3 linked regions of the Coturnix japonica genome follow. The protein of the gene in region 1 interacts with the protein of each later gene in a biochemical or structural test. Links are inferred from orthologs where the notes say so. Each region holds a gene or a part of one and is shown on either strand. Other genes may lie near its edges.

Evidence for each region.
Region 2: of the proteins of CHEK2 (region 1) and PPM1D, one has a biochemical effect on the other in vitro, tested with the Homo sapiens proteins (2 studies listed by BioGRID, with this or other methods). The link is inferred for Coturnix japonica from reciprocal best matches to the Homo sapiens genes CHEK2 and PPM1D.
Region 3: the proteins of CHEK2 (region 1) and PPP2R5A form a complex in vitro, tested with the Homo sapiens proteins (2 studies listed by BioGRID and IntAct, with this or other methods). The link is inferred for Coturnix japonica from reciprocal best matches to the Homo sapiens genes CHEK2 and PPP2R5A.

What each region holds. Positions count from the first base shown.
Region 1 is NC_029530.1:6,771,588-6,778,044, reverse strand, and holds the start of CHEK2 (serine/threonine-protein kinase Chk2), read left to right. Parts: upstream 1-2,708; 5' UTR 2,709-2,718; coding exon 2,719-3,064; intron 3,065-3,897; coding exon 3,898-4,022; intron 4,023-4,254; coding exon 4,255-4,402; intron 4,403-4,759; coding exon 4,760-4,850; intron 4,851-5,352; coding exon 5,353-5,461; intron 5,462-6,383; coding exon 6,384-6,437; intron 6,438-6,457. Other genes in the region: iron-sulfur cluster co-chaperone protein HscB, read right to left, coding at 1,076-1,167, 1,277-1,324, 1,683-1,827, 1,944-2,033, 2,278-2,374, 2,444-2,670. UniProt on the Homo sapiens protein: Serine/threonine-protein kinase which is required for checkpoint-mediated cell cycle arrest, activation of DNA repair and apoptosis in response to the presence of DNA double-strand breaks.
Region 2 is NC_029534.1:6,711,674-6,717,356, reverse strand, and holds part of PPM1D (protein phosphatase 1D), read left to right. Parts: intron 1-1,719; coding exon 1,720-1,844; intron 1,845-5,683. UniProt on the Homo sapiens protein: Involved in the negative regulation of p53 expression. Required for the relief of p53-dependent checkpoint mediated cell cycle arrest.
Region 3 is NC_029518.1:19,370,100-19,375,782, forward strand, and holds part of PPP2R5A (serine/threonine-protein phosphatase 2A 56 kDa regulatory subunit alpha isoform), read right to left. Parts: intron 4,173-5,683; coding exon 4,080-4,172; intron 2,250-4,079; coding exon 2,119-2,249; intron 1,945-2,118; coding exon 1,885-1,944; intron 771-1,884; coding exon 662-770; intron 1-661. UniProt on the Homo sapiens protein: The B regulatory subunit might modulate substrate selectivity and catalytic activity, and might also direct the localization of the catalytic enzyme to a particular subcellular compartment.

The DNA of each region.
Region 1 (6,457 bases):
AGTAGTTTATTGCTTCCTCCTGCTGAGTTGGAGCTTAAGTAAAGGCAAATAAATCTTCATGATCTGCTGTTACGACTGCTGGTAGAATGTATGATACAGAAGGCCCAGCAGCTGCCTTTGGACAGGCACTGTACTGTACTTCAGGAGCTCTTTTAGTTCTAAGCTCCTTCCTCAGATCCAAGCATCTGTTAGTGCTTTACAGAAGAATACATGGCTCATAGTCTGAGGTGTTCAACCCAAACACGATCCAACCCACTGCAAAGCTGCTGTTTATGATCTGCTACTGAGAACATTAACTTAAGTCTGCGGTTGCTGTTTCTTAATATCAATAATCTCAGTGTAAGGTTTAAGAACATCAGATCCCTATTAGTCCTCATGCACAGACACGGGCAGTCCATCTCAAGGCAGTGTGACACTGATGTGATTTATCTTAATCAGGTTATCTTAAGTGATAATGAGGTTTATTAGAAAGCTTTGTTTCCTAGAATAGTAGTAATAAAGCAGTTATTGGTGTTTGAGTTGCGTGTTTTGTGCTTCGTGTCTTAATACTTCAAACTGTCCAACAGGGCTTTAAATCTTCTGCTCATTTCTGAAGGAAATTTCTGAAGGATGTTTCCTGGCCCATTGAAATCAACATGTCCAAAAGCACAAAGGAGCAGCAAGGACTGATGATGATGATAATAGTAAGAAAACAAAATCAAAATCATTTCACTTTTAAAGATGTTTCCAAGGCAGCTGGGTAGGATGCTCAGCAGAGCTGGCTGAGCTTTCCCTTTGATCTCCAATGTTGTGCCCAGTGCTTTTCCTCAACAGAAAGGAAACTCTATGGACGTTAGTGGTAAAAACTCATAACTGCACACTGTGAGCACCTCTCTGATAGTTTCCACACCCAGAACTCCATGAGGATGGTAACCTCAGGCACGTGATGCAGCTTTTCCTGGCTGCTTTGTTTTCCTTCTCTGAGAGTTAAAGCTTGTACCAGAGGTGTAAGAGGCAAACACCACTTGTCTGTGTTTGGTGCAAGTCAACAGTTTAATAAAAGTTACATTAATTCTTAATAGTAAATGAGATGCTATCAGGAAGGGATCTTCTTGTTCTTTAGTTTGTCCTCCAGGTTTGCAAAGTACTTCATTTTGGCAAGAAGCTTCTTAGCTTCCTGAAGGTCATCTACAAAGAAATTAAAACAAAGAGGATTATTTAAGAGGAGGGCACAACTGTCATTTTCAAGGTGAATCTGAAGGTTTCCTTGCCAGCAGCTATTTAATAAAACAATTACCTCTTTCAAAAGCTGCAGTCACCTCTTTGGTCAGTTCTTCTTGTCTGTCTGTAAAACAAATTATCTTATTCAGCTTTTGCTTCATATTTGTATCTAATACAGCCGTGCTCAGTCTGTGGTGTGGTCTTTTGGAAGATAAGAGCTCCTTGTGTTAGCACTGCCAGCCTTTTTCCTTATCCTTCCAGCAGTGTTTCTTTATTGACACAGCTCTACAGCCAGCAGTACCTATATATATACACACACACACACACACACACCAGTGGCTGCTCACTTCCCAGCAGCTCAACTTGCTTTGATCTCCAGCACTGCACCCAGGGTTCTTCCTCAATATAAACCCCACACGTTTCAGTAGACAATACAGGGATGTAAAATTCACTCGGTACAAAACCCGCAGACCGAGGCCCACCTTTAATTAACGTTTCTATCTCCCCGAGGATCTCGTCGTTCTGAGGCTCTGCTAATTTCTCATTGATTTCCATGATTTCCATGAGAAACTCCTTATCCTCATCGCAGTCCGTCTCCTGCGCCGGCTCCACACCGCGCAGCTCCAGCTGGAGGAAAACAAAACAGCTATTTGGAAACGTGAATATGGGCTCTCTGAGTGTGAGCACTGAGCGGCTGCGGGGCCCTAAGATGGGTGTGTGGATCTGCCCATCCCAGCACTCACCAGGTAGAGGCCGCGGCTCAGGGGGTGCAGCAATGTCTGGTAGGCCTTGTTGATGAGGGAAGAGTGCTGCTCCGAGTAGTGCTGCTCCTTCTGCCAAAGAGTAATGAGTCAATAAGCAGCGCACAGAGCGGTGACCCTGCACACACCCATGGTCAGGGGACGGGGCTGTGAGCGCTGATGGAGCTGTGGGTGTCCCTGAGCACTGCAGGCAGTGGGAGCAGATGCCCTCGGGGGTCCCGTACGACTCCCCGGAGCTCAGCGGTCCCGGAGCTCGGAGCCGACACAGCGCGTCTCCCATAGGGCAGCGGTCGGTCACTCGCGGTCGGTCACTCACCGCCGGGCTCTGTCCGAAGCGGTCTGGGTGCAGCGCTCGCTGGAGGCTCCGGAACCGCCGCTGCAGCCGCTGCGTGTCGATGCGGAAGGAGCGATCACTGCGGGCGACACGAGGCGGCGTGAGCAGCTCGGCCCGCTCCGCTCGAGTCCGCCCCGCCGGCACTCACCACTCCATCAGGCGGAACAGGTCGGGACGAGGCTCCGGCGGCTGCAGGGCCCGGCAGCGGGGACAGAAGTGCGGGACCGCATCGAGGCCGGACAGCGCGACGCCGCAGCTCCAGCACCGCGGGGACGGGACGGAGCCGGGTCCGACGCACCGCGGCCGCGGGGCCAACTCGGACACACGCAGCGCCCGCCGCGCCCGGCCCAGCTGCACCCGCAGCGCCGCCTGCATCGCCCGCACTACGGCTCCTCCCGGCACCGCGCCGCCATTGGCCGCTGTATGAGCGCGGCGCCTGCGCTGTGCGGTGCGACGGGCGGGGCGAGCTGTGAGCGTGGAGCCGGAGCGGAGTCAGTGCGGGCGGTGGGTGCTCCCGCCATGTCCAGAGAGACAAGGAGCGATGTGCAGCACTCACAGGGCACGCAGCCATCGCAGGGCGGAACCAGCTCCTCCTCCAGCGCCTCGCAGGGCGCCAGCCAGTCCTCGTCCAGCTCCGGCACGCTCAGCTCTCTGGACACGGTGCCCACGCAGGAGCTGCCCTCCATCCCCGAGGACCCGGAACCCGACGAGCTCGTTCCCCAGCCCTGGGGTCGGCTCTTCGCGCTCGGAAAAGGTTTCAGCAATTGGGGTACGTCACCGCCGGCCCCGCCGCCTGTCCGTGCGCCTCCTGGCTGTGTCGGGCCGGGGATGCACCGTGCCGTTCTATTCTGTTGCCGTTCCATTCCGTGCCGTTCCATTCTGTCCCATCCATTCTGTGCCGTCCATCTGGCCGTTCCATTCTTTGTGCCGTTCCATTCTGTGCCGTTTCCATTCTGTGCGTTCATTCGCGGGATCATTCTGTGCCGTTCCATTCTGTGCCGTTCCATTCTGTGCCGTTCCATTCTGTGCCGTTCTATTCCGTGCCGTTCTATTCCGTGCCGTTCTATTCCTTGCTGTTCCATTCGTGCCCATTCCATTCCTGGTCCCATTCCATTCTGTGCCATTCCATTCTGTCCCGTTCCATTCTGTGCCGTTCCGTTCCGTGCCGTCCCGCTGAGCTCCCGGCTGTTTCTGCTCGGAGTCCGTGTCTTCTCCACTGCCTGTCTGTGTCTGTCCGCCCCGTAGCTTGGTTTGGTTCGGTTTGTTTCTGCATTGTGTGAATATATCGCTGAAGGTGAATGGGAAATGACGCTGTTATTCAATGGAATTGCTGATGTATGTAGTGAAATTACAGGGTCATGGAATGGCTGAGGTTGGAGGGGAGCTCAGGGATCCCCCACCCCTGCCATGTGCTGCTGCACCCAGCTCGGGCTGCCCACCTTCCTCAATGACGTATTGGTAGCATATGGCGTTTCATTGGAATCAGGAGAAGTAAATGCTGATGTCTTTGTTATCATGCTTTACTATAATGTAAGGCATCGTTCTGCAGGGCAGTAGTTAATAACTGCCTCAATGCTGTGTTCTCTCTCCCATGCTCTGCAGACTGTGTCAATGACGAGTACTGGTTCGGAAGAGACAAAAGCTGTGATTACAGTTTTTCTAAGCTCGGATTATCTGAAACTGGGTTTTACCAGAACTACAGCAAGAAGCACTTCCGAATATTCAGGGTAGGTGCTAAAAAGGTTATTTCTTTTTCTGTGTATGGCCATAATTGAGAATGGTGAACCTTTGCTGGGATCTTATTGAACACAAGGTTTGCCATGTCCAGCCCGACTTCTTTAACCAGGCGCTGAGTGATGTTCCCTCTCCATGTTTATGAAGTACTCCATTGAGCCAACACTGCTGTCGTCCTTTTCTTCGCCATTGCTCTCTTTCTGATTTCTTTTTCTTCCCTGTTAGGAAACAGGACCAAAAAACTCCCACGTTGCCTACATTGAAGACCACAGCGCAAATGGAACGTTCATTAACAGAGAGCTCATTGGGAAGGGGAAGAGGCTGCCGCTGACTCATAACTCGGAAATCGCACTATGTATTCAGACTAACAAGGGTAAAATACACCGCGATGCATGTGGGCTCTTTGGGTGTCAACCAGGAGGTTCTGTGTGCTGTGATCTGGATCTTGTTTGGTGAATACCATGTGGCTGCAGTAATAAGAACAGCCCTAAGTTTATCGCTGTGTTTGGCGCAGACCCAAGGTCTCACTTCTCAGTAATGAGATTTCCTGCCTAAAGCATCATTGCAGCATCAGCTGATGGGGTTTTGGTTTCTTCTTCTTGCTTTCCTATTTCCGTGCTGTTTCCAGCAGGCAGCATTTGCTCAGTTGTGTTGTTGACTGTTAACAGCTTGGGAAGTGTTATATAACCATTTTGAAGTAACAGGACGATGCTCTCCACCCATCTCCCAGTGTTTGTCTTTTCTGACCTCACGGTGGATGACCAGCTGGTGTTTCCTAGAGAGCTCCGAGAGAAGTACATCATGTCCAAGACGTTGGGAAGGTAAGAATCCTTCTATCAGAAGCAGCACCTTTCATTTTGTTACTGCTTTCGGTACCTTGTGCTACCTGAGCACACTGTGCTGGGCTTTAATGAAGATGAAACACAAATGAGACGTGGTCTCATTATCTATTACTTGGAATATCCAGAATCATAGGAGGGTTATCAGAGATACTTCAAAGCAATTGGTGGTGATTTCTGAATTAATTGCTCAAGATTTGAAACTATCTTACGACTATGTTTCTATTTACTTTACATGCAAGAATGTTTAAGTACGTTTGTAATTGGTTGAAATTGGGGTCTGACACCATTTGGTGCTTAAATACTATTGAATATTGTCTGAGATAGTTTTGTCCATCTGTTATATTGAGAGAGCTGGAAAGCTGCAGCCTCTGATTGCACGTAGTCTTAATGAGGTGAGAGCCTCCTGTTCACGTCAGCACGCTTCTTAGGCCGAGTTGGGAAGGTATCTGTAAGCATTAACACAGCTGTGCTTTCATGCTAGCGGTGCCTGTGGAGAAGTCAAACTGGCATTTGAGAAGAGCACTTGTAATAAAGTTGCAGTAAAGATCATCAACAAGCGGAAGTTTATGGCCAGTGGTGTTAGAGAGGCAGTAAGTACCTTTGCTTCTGTCTTTTGACCATCTTGCAGCTGTTCTCAGATACGGGCAGCCTTTATCTCTTACTCTCCAGTCCTCTCCGATTAAAGGGGGTTTTCTGACTTAAAGTTTTCTGTGTGTGATTTCTCAATGGCATTTGATATTACAGAGTGTATATAACTGTGTAGCAAATGCTTGCTTTTATTCTTTGACCAAACTCTGTTAGGACTGATGCCTTATATACAAATAAGGGGGAGTGTGGAAATCTCATGGGGTGTCATCTCCTAAAAAACATCAGAAAGTTACATTACAGGGTGGTCTGACCAGAGGCCTATAAGCTCAGCTAATTGTGTTGTATGTTCATCATAAGACTTGGTATGGTACAAAGCCTGCTGGGGAGGGCTTTCCATGTGCCTGCTTTCATAGCTGCTGGAGAAAGAGGAGCCATGGCTGGAACCTAACAGATATTCAAACAACTTCTGATCGATCAGTGCCATTTTATGTAAAGATACAGGATGAACTGTGAAGAAAAAATACAAATAGAGGTTGAAGGTGAATGAGAAAGGAGATACAGATTCTGCAGCTATGGGTTCACTGAAGGTAAAACAGGTTAGACTAACCTTGTTAATTCTGCAGGATTATATGCAAGCTCAGTGAATGCTTCTCTAATTTCCAGTTGTACAGGTTCAGAGGAGGAAAATGCAGATATTTTCAGATCAATCTGTTTATTTTCTCTAGCACAATGAAGAGTAATAGTGAGTAGCATTTAACTTCAGGGGTAGCTCATGTGGGAAACATCTTGAAGAGAGGCAGTTTGAAGGGCAGTGCTGATATCTGCTGGTCAAGATGAATTGTTTAAGTTGGATCTTAATTTCTGAAGTGTCTTATCCTAAAATATTGCTGTGTGACTCCATGTGGTATTTCATTCTTTTCACAGAGCCCAGCTTTTAACATCAACACAGAAATAGAGATTTTGAAGAAAATAGATCATGTGAGTGGCCCTGTACATTT
Region 2 (5,683 bases), on another chromosome or scaffold:
TTCCCTGTAAATGGGGAAGAAGGCAGGCAGCCTTGTCAGATGGCACTAATGTTTTGAGACAAACCTCAGGGCTCGGATTTGGCATGGCTTCACAGGAGCTCGCTGTTCTTTCGTTCCACAGTACTGCACCAGATGGATGGGCAGAGTTTCCTTCTCTTAGCAGTTCAGAGGGAGAAAGCACTGGAGGTTTTCCTGTTGACATCATTCACACAAGAACCCTGTCAGCTCGTTAACCTTCAGATATCTGTATCGCTAGCAGGTGGAAGCTGATCAGATATCTGTATTTGGGGTGGGAACTTCTCAGAAAGGGCAACTTGCAGCTTTGCTAAGTTAGAGTTTGTAAATGTATGGGTTTCCAGGTTGTTCATGTCAGTGTTTGAAACTGAGGCTTTGGAGAAGCGTTCTGAGACTGTCTATCAGCAGGAGCAGTTAAACTGTTTTAGCAACTTTTTCTGCTCCTGCTTCTTCTGTTTTGTTCTTCTGGACTGGCTGGTAAAACCAGTGCAGGCTGTTGTGTAGCCAACAGTGGGAGTGTGGTGGGACTGCCTCTGTGTTTATTACTGTCTTCTCTTTTGTTAGAGAAAACTGGGATAAGTTAATGTGAGGGCATGATTGAATTGTATATTAAAAACAGTATTTTCAAAGTAACAGTCCTGGAATACGGGCTGAAATCTTCCAGATGAAGGCTGGAGTTAACATTGTGTAACTAATAGTTGTACAAATGGATGAGATGAATTTTAGGCTGTGGTGCTTGCTGCACTTTCATGCAGAAGGATGGAGCTAAACGTGCCTTTGTTGTTAAGGCCTTTGAAGTCTCAGGAAGTGCATCTTGAATAGCTTCAGTATGAGGAATCTTGAGGCTGGTTCCAGAGCGCCTCAGTTTCTAATTACCGATGGCTGTTCCTTGGATGAAAGCTAGCTTTTAAGCATCTAGTTCTTAGTTTGATTGGGACCAAGCTTTGCTTGTTCATTCTTTCATTACCTTGCTTGGTACCTCATGCTCTCCCTTCTCTCTTTCCTACTTCTTCCTGCCTCGTTATAGTGTGTTCTCTTGCATAGTAGCTTCTCTTTTGACCCTTTTAATGCCATTTGTGAGAGCCAAAACGATTGTTTGGTGCACAGAGCAGGAGCAGGTGTTAATGCTTAAAGGCAGGGCTGTTTCTTCCTATGTCGTGCTTTCAGCAGATAGCAGCTATGAACAATTCCTCTTTTTATTTCTCCCTCATGTTGGTGCACCAATAAGGAAATTCCTCCAGAAGGCTGCTCTTATTTTTCTGCTCTTCCCAACTGTACTGTGCTGCTCTTTACTGCCAGACTTTGGCAGATGGAGAAAACTAAAGGAGAAACAACATGATATTTTCACTCAAGTTGATGTTGATGGGCCTCATCTAAGGAAAGCAATTTGTCTTTTGCTTTTTTGCTGATAGATTGAAAAGATACTCTTACATCTGGCTGTTGCAGCCAGCCTTAATTTCTTCCAAGTCTTCGTCCTCTTGCTTTTTCTTCTGCCCTTCATCTCTTGCTTTTGCATTTAGCTTAATGTGGAATGAGGCTATCCAAGTGATACCAGGTGTTCTGAAATGCTTCATTGTGCTGTGCACCTCTCTGAAGATGCTGTCGTTATTGAGTCTGTATTTGCATATTTAATCTTAAGTCATTGAAACAAGCTTTCATTTCCATTGCTTTTTATAACGCCTGCTCCTTTCTGACGATTTTTAGTGTCATCAACAAGTCTGGTGTGAATCGTGTTGTCTGGAAGAGACCTCGCCTGACTCACAATGGCCCTGTGCGCCGCAGCACCGTCATCGACCAGATTCCCTTCCTGGCTGTGGCCAGAGCACTTGGTAAGTGGCCCCTTGTGTGGGAAGAGAGACATCTGCACACAGCCCACCAGAGCTGAATTATAGCCTGCTCTGCCAAAACATTTAGTTTAGAGGTTATTCAGTCACTTGCTGTGATTATAAGGCTTCCTAAAAGTATGGGCCCTAGGAGTATTTTTAATACAGTGCAAGTTTCACTTTTCAAATGGAGCTGTGTGAGGTGGCATTGGCGAGCAGAGGACTGGTTGTACAACATGCAGAACTTCCATTCTGTTCTGCTAAGGATGGTACTTGGTACTTCCTCTGTATTGCAAATGGAAATGTGGTGATTGCCTCCAAGATGTACAACGTAGTTGGTCTTTCTCTTACTCAGACAGTGGGACTGTGGTTTTTTGCTACATGGTGGTGAGATTGTTCTGCTGCATAGCAACCAGAGTGCTTTCTTTTTGTCTCTTTGTAAATCTGTCTTCTTCAAGACAATGTGGAGTTAAGAAAGGGGTAGAAGTCAGCCTGTGTGCTTTATCTATAACTTGCTATTGCAGTAGTGTTGGTAATGGAAAACTATTTTGAGGAACGCTCTAATTGGGGGGTGAAAATAAACACAACCATGCCTAGCAAGCTTGTTATGAATGCTTTTTGGGCAGTACTTAATAACTTGATCTTTGGCAACTTCTTGCCCACGTGTATTGGTATTTTCTAGCCAGCTGTTTTCCTTAAATTTTACTGCCAAAATCCAGTCTTCTGCTGTTCGCTTTCCTTCCTTTCTCCCTCAGTGAAGAAATCTCTATCCAGATCTACTCAGTATAGGTTAGATTCTATGGAAATATAGTATCATATAGTTTTTTTTTTAACCTGCGAAAACTGCTCTATGACTTAATTTCTTGGCAAGCCTGGTGGTTACGTGATAATGTTGTCAGTGTTCCTAGATCAGCTGGCAGTGTGTCATAGGGACAGTCTGTTCCTGGGACTGTGGTCATCTTGTGATAACTGCATAACCTTAACTGTGTCTTATTTCAGAGGCAGTGATGTGTGGTTTGCATGGATTTGTCTTTGTGTCAAGAACTGTGCAGTGGTCTTACCTTGTAAAAGATACAGCTATAGAGGCTACAGGTGATTGAATGGTGATCTTTTTCATAAAAATTGAAGTTTTCTTTTTCTCTCTGTATCTTTCAAGTCTCACTGTGTATCAGTGTAGGCAAGGTAGCTGCTTATCTTATGGTTAGTAAAACCTACTTGAGAAATTAAGTCCTTTGGAGCTGATAGATGGAGATCTTTGATAGTCATCTACCATGTAACATCACCTTCTTTATCTCTTTTTCTACACAGTGTCTGTGTTTGTAGGTTACAAAATGTGGGTATAGTTATGAAATTAACTGCAGTTCTTTCATTTCTACACTTTTGAATTTGTTGTGTAAAACAAAAAGAACCTTGATGACTTTTGATCCGGTTCCTCTCAGCAAGTTGAACAAAAGGATTTGGCTGGGTTCTGCATGCAGATGGGAATTCAAGGAATGATGCATCTGTTAGCCCCTCTAGTGCATTCTTTCCAGTTATGTGGATGAGGGGGATTACTGGGGAGCTTCAGGTCTGAAGAACAAGAACACTTTGTAACAGTACTTGGTGTCAAAAGTTAGAAGACCTAAAAGACATTGAACACCTAAAAGGGGACTGTGCCCTCTGCAAGTCATGTAGGAGAAACAGATTTACAATGTGATGGTGTTTTGGTATTTGCCTGCTCAGGGAGCCTCCGAAAGCCTCTTTGCATTCCCTTCTGAGGAGGTGTGACAAAGCTCCTGCAAAAAGGAACGCAGCTGCCTTGCTCTGCAGGACCCAGATGGTGCACAGACGCTCGCAGTTTGGAAACAGGATTTAACTTCTTTCTGAGGCCAGCATGCCCCTTCCACTGCTTACAAAAGATCTACCACAACTAAAACCATTTGCATTCAAGCTATTGGAGGCCTGCTCGACCTCTTGGCTGGCTCCCAGGTTGCTACCCTGATTGGCACAGCTCTGCTACGCTGGAGCTTCTCCAAGCTGAGTAGTAACTGGCAATGCTGCCATACTGGTCACCAACACTCTAGTCCATCCCCTCAAGATCTAGCACAGAGAGTCCTCTTGTTAACTCCAAAATTGCTTGTTATTCTTAATAGAAACCCTGTGCTGCAAAGGTCTCAGGCTTATTATGTGGATACTCTTGTTGCTGCCCTGTACCTACAAGGCAAACAGAGCTGTGTATTTATTATCCTTAAAGTGGAAGGTTATCTGATTATTTATTTATTTATTTATTTTGTTTAAGGAAATTTAAAACATAGATGTTTGTTGTGTGAGAGATAGAGAGACAGCTTTTTTCATTAGAACATAATAATTTATGAGAGTTTTCTGGCATCCATAGCTTCATAGTAACTGTCCACTTCATATGCCTGTCCCTATAACAGATGTGTGGTAACTCACATTACTCAGAACCCCTTGTGTAATGCAGGGATATGAGTGTGCAAATTGCTGGGTGCTATACAACCTAAATAATCAGGAACAGGAAGCCATTGTGTAACTTGCTTGTGTGTTTTGAAGAGTGTATGTCATTGCATCATGCATTACTGTCTCTCTGCCACAGATTTGCAACTTGGATTTCTTCCATGTGGCACCCAGGAGGGTTTTTAGACTCTAGTGAGCATGCTTATGAATGTGTGTCTTGAGGGGAAAAGCACTGAGAGAGAAAAGAAACTAACTGTGTGTATATATTGCCTTGTAGTGCTTCGGCTGTGTTAGCTATTTAAATACATTAACTTAGACCTTCAGTTTCTGGGACAAAATGCAGGATGATAAACACGAGGCTGTGACTGAACTTCTGTTCTCACGTGTAGGATCCATTGTGTTAAAAATGGAATGAAGAATTCGGATCTATGGAAGTGAGTTCTGGAGTAAAATCTCTCCTAGCATCCGTAGTGCTTTCAAAGATAGTGTACAAAGTAGGGGAGGTATTAAAAAAGAATAGTCTGAGTTCTCAGTGTCTTACAGTGTAACTTGACGCATCTTCCTTGATTTTTATACAGGTGACAGGCCCACCCCCTTCTGATTTTATTTCTTTGGAGTGCCTCCAAAACACAGAGCTGGCTTTTTTGTATTAACACAAATGTCCTGCTGACCTCAGGAAGGAGCTGTGTACCACAGCAGTGAACTCTCAGTGTATGGGTGGCTGCTGTGAGAGCGTTGGCTGTGGCACTGATGTGGGAGCTGCTTTCTAGAGCACTCTACTGGCTGTGGAATTGCTGTTGTAAAGCTCTCTGAACACACGTGCCATGAAGGAGACTATGGCTGACCTCAAATGATCTGCTTTCATTCTTGTGAGGCTCTAATTCTTGGTGTGCACTTCAGTGTGTGTGTATACAAACATTCAAAACCTGCTGCCAGGTAGAACTGGCTTAGTTGCGTGATGGTATTTGATTAAGCTAGTAAGCAATGTAACACTACGCAGTGTTTCCCAGTTTTACTGATAATGCTTTATATCCATGTACATGTCATATATATGGGTTTCTGCTCTTGTCCTGGAGATGTCTTACTGTAGCTTGTACAGTTTTCTCCACCCTTGAGACAGACTGTGAATGTATTCCTGTACAGAATGCAGAGAATGTGTTTAACTGTGCAGACTAGTGCTGGTTGCACACATAATGTGAAGGCACACATGGATCTGTTTAGCTTAAAGGAGCAATTTTGGGGCTTTTTTTTTCCTGCTGTGTGTGCCTCTTTAGCTGTTTTTAATTTGACACAATAGAAAAGCTCTGGTGATTGTTTCTCCTTATAGGTGGAACTTTATCCAGGTCTGGTTGCTGTGTTGTTTTACCTCTTGTCTTCAGCTGAGCAAATGC
Region 3 (5,683 bases), on another chromosome or scaffold:
AACTGAATTACTTGTAAGTTTACATCAAATGTATTCAATGTTTAAGTGCCGTTTGTCTGGCAAGAATATACATTATTCCTCCAACAAGATGAAAGGCCGCACTAAGCATGAGAATGGAAGTCAAATGAATAACTGCTGCATTCTGACAGCATGTCACGGATCTACATAATTTCTAGCTGAGCCATTGTGCATTTCTGCTGTTTCTACCCAACACCCTTCCCCCCCTCGCAATCAATAAAATAAAAATAAAATAAAAATAAAATAAAAATAAAAATAAAATAAAGCACTTCTGAAATAAGCACCTGGCCATGCTCAGGGTTCCTTGATACACAGCATGTAGGCTACATTTAAAAAGTGATAAGAGCACAGAACAAAGGCCTGGGATTAAATGAAGCTCAGTGTGACAGACCGCCAAACAAAAAGCTTCCCACTTCAGCTGATGTGAGTTCAAATCACTGTTATGTTCCTTCACTTTTAATACACGCTAAGCATTATCTCAAAATTAATGTTTATAAACAAGATCTGCATGATGTTAAAAAGCAAATACATTTACAAATAGCTCCAGATGCTGACACTGTAACGCACACTGCTTCAAACTTCCATTAGTTTAAAATGCAAATACAAAGAAAAGCACTACTCTTAAAAACAGGTGAAAGCTTACCTGTGCGTGAAACAAAGCTAGTCCCTTTGCAGTATGCATGGGAATCAGAACTTTCATAAGGAACTGTTTGTGTTCCGCTTTCAGTGGCAGTGCAAAACCATTGATAATACTGAAAACGTGAATAAGCAGGATTTACTTTTATGAAGAACTCAAAACAAAAACAAGATTTTCTTAGCAAGAAGTAAAGAATTCCTGTACATTCAGAAATGCCATTTCTGATTCTATTTCTAACCCCGGTAATTATGAAGCCATAAAATAACTTCACATATGCACAGCCTCTAAAGGTTTGGTATCGTGGCAGCCAGCTGAGAGAAGCAGAGTGGCAGCCCACTGACACTCAGGAGAGGACTTTCACCATCACCTCCTTCAGGTAAAATTATCTAAAGTAGGTTGCTGCCTAAGGATAAAGCTCATACACATCAGGAAGCTGATCCCTTTCATGCCGAATCACTTAAACACAACTTGCAGAGGAACAAAATAGATGGCATATAATTTAATTATTACAACAGCGCAGTTTGAAAATACGTTTTAAGTTTTCCCCCTAGAAAAAAAGCTTCCAAGTGGTCGTTGATTCAATAACCTTGTTGTGAGAGTCAGCCACAGAACGACAGCCCTTCGGGAAGGCCTTAGGTTTTGTTCCCCAGATTTTAGATAAACCTGAGCAAATGGAATCCCGTTTGCTTGGTTTCCATGATGACCGATCCCTTTCACAATCTGTTAAGCCACTTGTGGTTATAGTTTTCTACCATAAAACACACCTGTGTCAGCTTTGGAAAATTACTAAAAAGACACCATAAACAGCTTCCAAAGTAAGAATTAAATAACTGAATTAGTGACAAAAATAGTAACTGAGATACTTTCAAGGCTTTCATGAACACACTCTGAACAAAGTCAGCCTGCTGAAGTAAAGCATTGTGTTCAACTTGAGAGCTGAAGTTAACATTCATTTTCCAAAGCAAAGAAAAACTCTGATATATTCCTCAACAAGGGAGGACTCCTGAGAAATATTTTGCCTGCCATCTCTAAAACACACACTGAAAAAGAAGGATTTAGACTCGATATCCTAATTAGATGTTCACATGGTAACCCAGACAGGATTCAATTACATCAGTGGCTGCACTTCATCACTCATTACTGTAACAGTCTTCCCATTCCCAAAGCAAGGAAACCAAAGCGAGCATTGCCCACAGTATTTTGTATCTTTTCTGTCAGTTCAAACTTACCTTCCTAATATCTCAAGAAGTTCAGCAACACCATTGAAGTGCTCTGTTTCATATATAAACCTATCACAAAGAAAGACAAAAATGGAAGCAGATTCCAAGTAAATAATCTCTAACAAATTTTAGATATTTGAAAGGCAATCACAGATCCAACCCAGCTCTTTCAGTGCAGTCACAGACTACAAAGGGAAAAGTAGAATATTACTCGACCTGCACAGACATACAGACAGAGCATACCTGAGGAAAATGTTATTGATCTGTTTCCTGATGAATGCTCTTAAGCCAAGGAATTTGCCATAAATTCGATGAAGAACCGTCTTCAGGAAATCACGTTCTCGTGGGTCTTCACTGTCAAAGAGCTCCAATAACTTCAAAAATTAAATTGAAATGTATTACATTAGGAAGACTTACATTTTGTCATGCTCCTAATCGAGCTCAGCTTCATCTTTAACTTACAAAGTCTGCATTAGAAAAAACAGAACTGGTCTGACTTAATATTTTATTTAGATATCCAATGTTATTTTCAAAATCAGATTTTGAATAAAGCTGAGTTTTTAAGTGCACCCAGCAGTTTCACTTCTTTCATATTGAAAAGTCTGCATAGAGCAGACATCAACAAAGCCATTCCAACCATTACCCTGTCAAAATAATGATGAAATTTTAAGAAGGATATTATCAAATTTGGGGTAAGTGGTTTGTACTCAGCCTTCAAGAAATTAGAATGAAGCAAATTTGTGTCATACATTTATGATTTCTTAATTGAAATCTTGTTCTACCCATTTCGATATGCTACTCATGCCTTCAAGGTTAAACACAAGCATAATTCTCTGCAGAATCGTTTTGCGAGACAAGTCTATGATAAGAATCATGCACATTTCCTTGGGGGACAGAGAGGGAGACAGATGTTTAACAGAATGCAAATGCACTAAGAACGAGCTGGGGAGGGGAGGGAAATCACCAAGTACAAGTTTCTTCATTTCTGTCTGGCTCTAATGGCAGCATTTCCCCCAACCTGTTTGGTTTTGTTAAATACATTTTCCTCCCCACAGGAACTTAGCTCCAGCAATCACTACAGCCTCCTGCTTAGTCCAGATCTGCAAGCTCTCCAACACCTACACCAAGCACAGCAGGGACTGGGAAGTGCTGTTTAAGAATTGTGCTCATTTCATTTCCATATTCAGAAGGAATTTCTCAGGGTCACCACTGCACTTTCTCCCCACAGACAGCTTGGTGTATTTTGCACCATCTTTACATGAAACATCAGGAGCTAAAATACTGCAACACAGCTCTGAAGAACTGTACGCCAGTCGGTGACTTGGACACGCACATACCAATGCTCAGCAGCAGATTCAGGTTAGAATTTTGTATGAAAGTTGAACAAAACAGAGAAGAAGGGAACACCTACAAACAAGAACAGCAAACCCAAAGAAGCAAGCATATAAGCAGTCACTGAAGGCAGCAAGTGGAAGCATTCATCTACGTTTTCACTTCTCACTGCTGTACTGTGACAGCCTCTTCACACTCAAGCTTTAAAAAATGAGCATTTGGGCACAGTAAAAATCCCCAGTGAGGTAACCTTGGACAAGAAATGTTAGAGTATCACCCAGCCCAATGTGAGGTGTGACATCCTACTTCATTTTTCTTCATAGTTACTTCGTGCGGTGAATCAACTTTACACTATTTTCTCATGAGCTTTCTCATTTAATTTTCCTTCTGCATATAATACACCACAAGATGAGAATGACACCATCCAGTAATAACTCAGCACATGTTGGAACACATTTCACGTACATTCAGCTACTTATTCATCGGAAAAACAATTTTGCTGTAAGATTTCCCATCGTAAATCTCCACGAAGAAAACAAACATGAAAGCACTACACCAGTGCCATTGGCACGCTGCTGATTTGACTGGAGGTAAGTTACTAATCATTAAAACACAGCTTACATTAACAAAAAATAAAAATCTTGCATTGCAAAGCAAAGATGCTAATACCTGAAAACAAAGCGTTTCTGCAGTTGCTAATTACTAATTATTGTCTGCGCAGCAGACATTGTTTGGCAGAAATCACTGTTGAAACAACTGGAATTGAACCCTCTGTCAGAGTGAAAGCTTTTTAGTATCGCCTCATCTGAACAACCAGCAGTTATGCCTGAGAGGCAATCTTTAACTCTGAGGTAGGAAACCTGGCTACTTACCTGCTGTACAAATTTCTGGTCAATGAATCTCTTTGCAATGCTGGGCTGAAAATCCGGGCTTTCCAAAAATCTTAGGAAAAATTCATACACCAACTGCAAAGAGCAAAGTGAGAATTTTGAACAAGTCAGTAAGTGCACCGTGGTGTGGATCTTATCCCCTACTCGAGTCACTGGGGCTGTTCACGTACTTAACATCTACGCATGAAAACCGTCATGGCCTCTAGTGCAATTTACTGTAAGCACCAAATGCATTTTAATTCCCAGAAGATTCTAAGCTTAATAAATCAATAACCGAAAATACCACTCCACAGCAAAGTAGAAGTATTACACAAATTCACATTTCCTACTGCATTAAGAGTGCATTACGTAGAAATAAGTTACCAAACACTTCTAAACAGAGGGTAAAATTAAGTGTTCTAACAGCATCTAACTCCCTAAAATCAGATTCAGAAAAGTTTGCTCGGTGCTCCTGAAGACAGGCTTCAGATTTAAGCAACTAAAATGGTCACACTGATAAAGCTGAAGAAATACATACAAACTGTAGTGCTTAGCACGGCATTACATATTCTGTATTCTATACTCCAGGCACTCCATTCAAACAGTAAGACCTCCTGCAGATTTACCTTCAATATCCTGTATATTCTGCAGTATATTCTTTCTATTGACTTCAAGTCCCCAGTTCACTATGATCCCATACAGACCACAGACAGAGAGGAGATGGAGGCAGCAAAGGCCTGAAGCAGCAGAGCGAGGCACAAAAATGGCAGAGCACAAGTCCCACACTATTGGATTCAACACAAGTCCAAGACAAACTTGTGTATCCATAACAGTGGCAGGTGGGAGAGAACACATGCAACCTTCCAACTTATAAAACATAGTTCAGGCATCTCATAAGGAAAGATATCTTCAGATTAGCTGCATTCAGGGCCTCATGTTTTCAATGCCTATTTCTCAACTCAGGAATAGTTAAATTGTAAGCAATAATAGTAAAGCACACTTTAAATAAATACAAACATACTGCCTGGACTGCAGAGGTAACAGATAGAGGCACGTATTTCAACAATTTTCACTTAGAAGAGGTACTAAACCACAGCTAATCCATCTCTTTCAAGCTAGAAATTCGATAAATGTGTCAGTGGTTTGTACTGAAATGGGACACATGACCGGAAGGAGGTTAACAGGGTACCATGGGAATTCATGCTGGAATTAAATTTCATTGTGTATTGAATTTGTACAGTTCATCTTTCTATCAACGAACACAACAAGAATAGTTAACTGAAAGCTGCTGGAATGGAGCCACAATATTGGAAGCTATTGCTTGATTTAAAAAAAATAAAATAAAAAAGAACGAACATCAGGTTATCAGTAAGAAAAGGACAAGGTAGATACAGGATGAAACTAAATGACTACAAAGTCAGTCAAAGAGATAAGAAAAAGCTCTACTAAGGAACAGCAAGCTTTGAAGGTGAGAGAAGGATCGGATACTAGTTCTGATTATTAGAATGACAAAGTTTCGCAGCTACACAGCAAAGCCACAGCAATGACAAATGAAATGCTGGGATTTTCCAATAAGATAATGACAAAACACAGAGAGATGTGAAGTA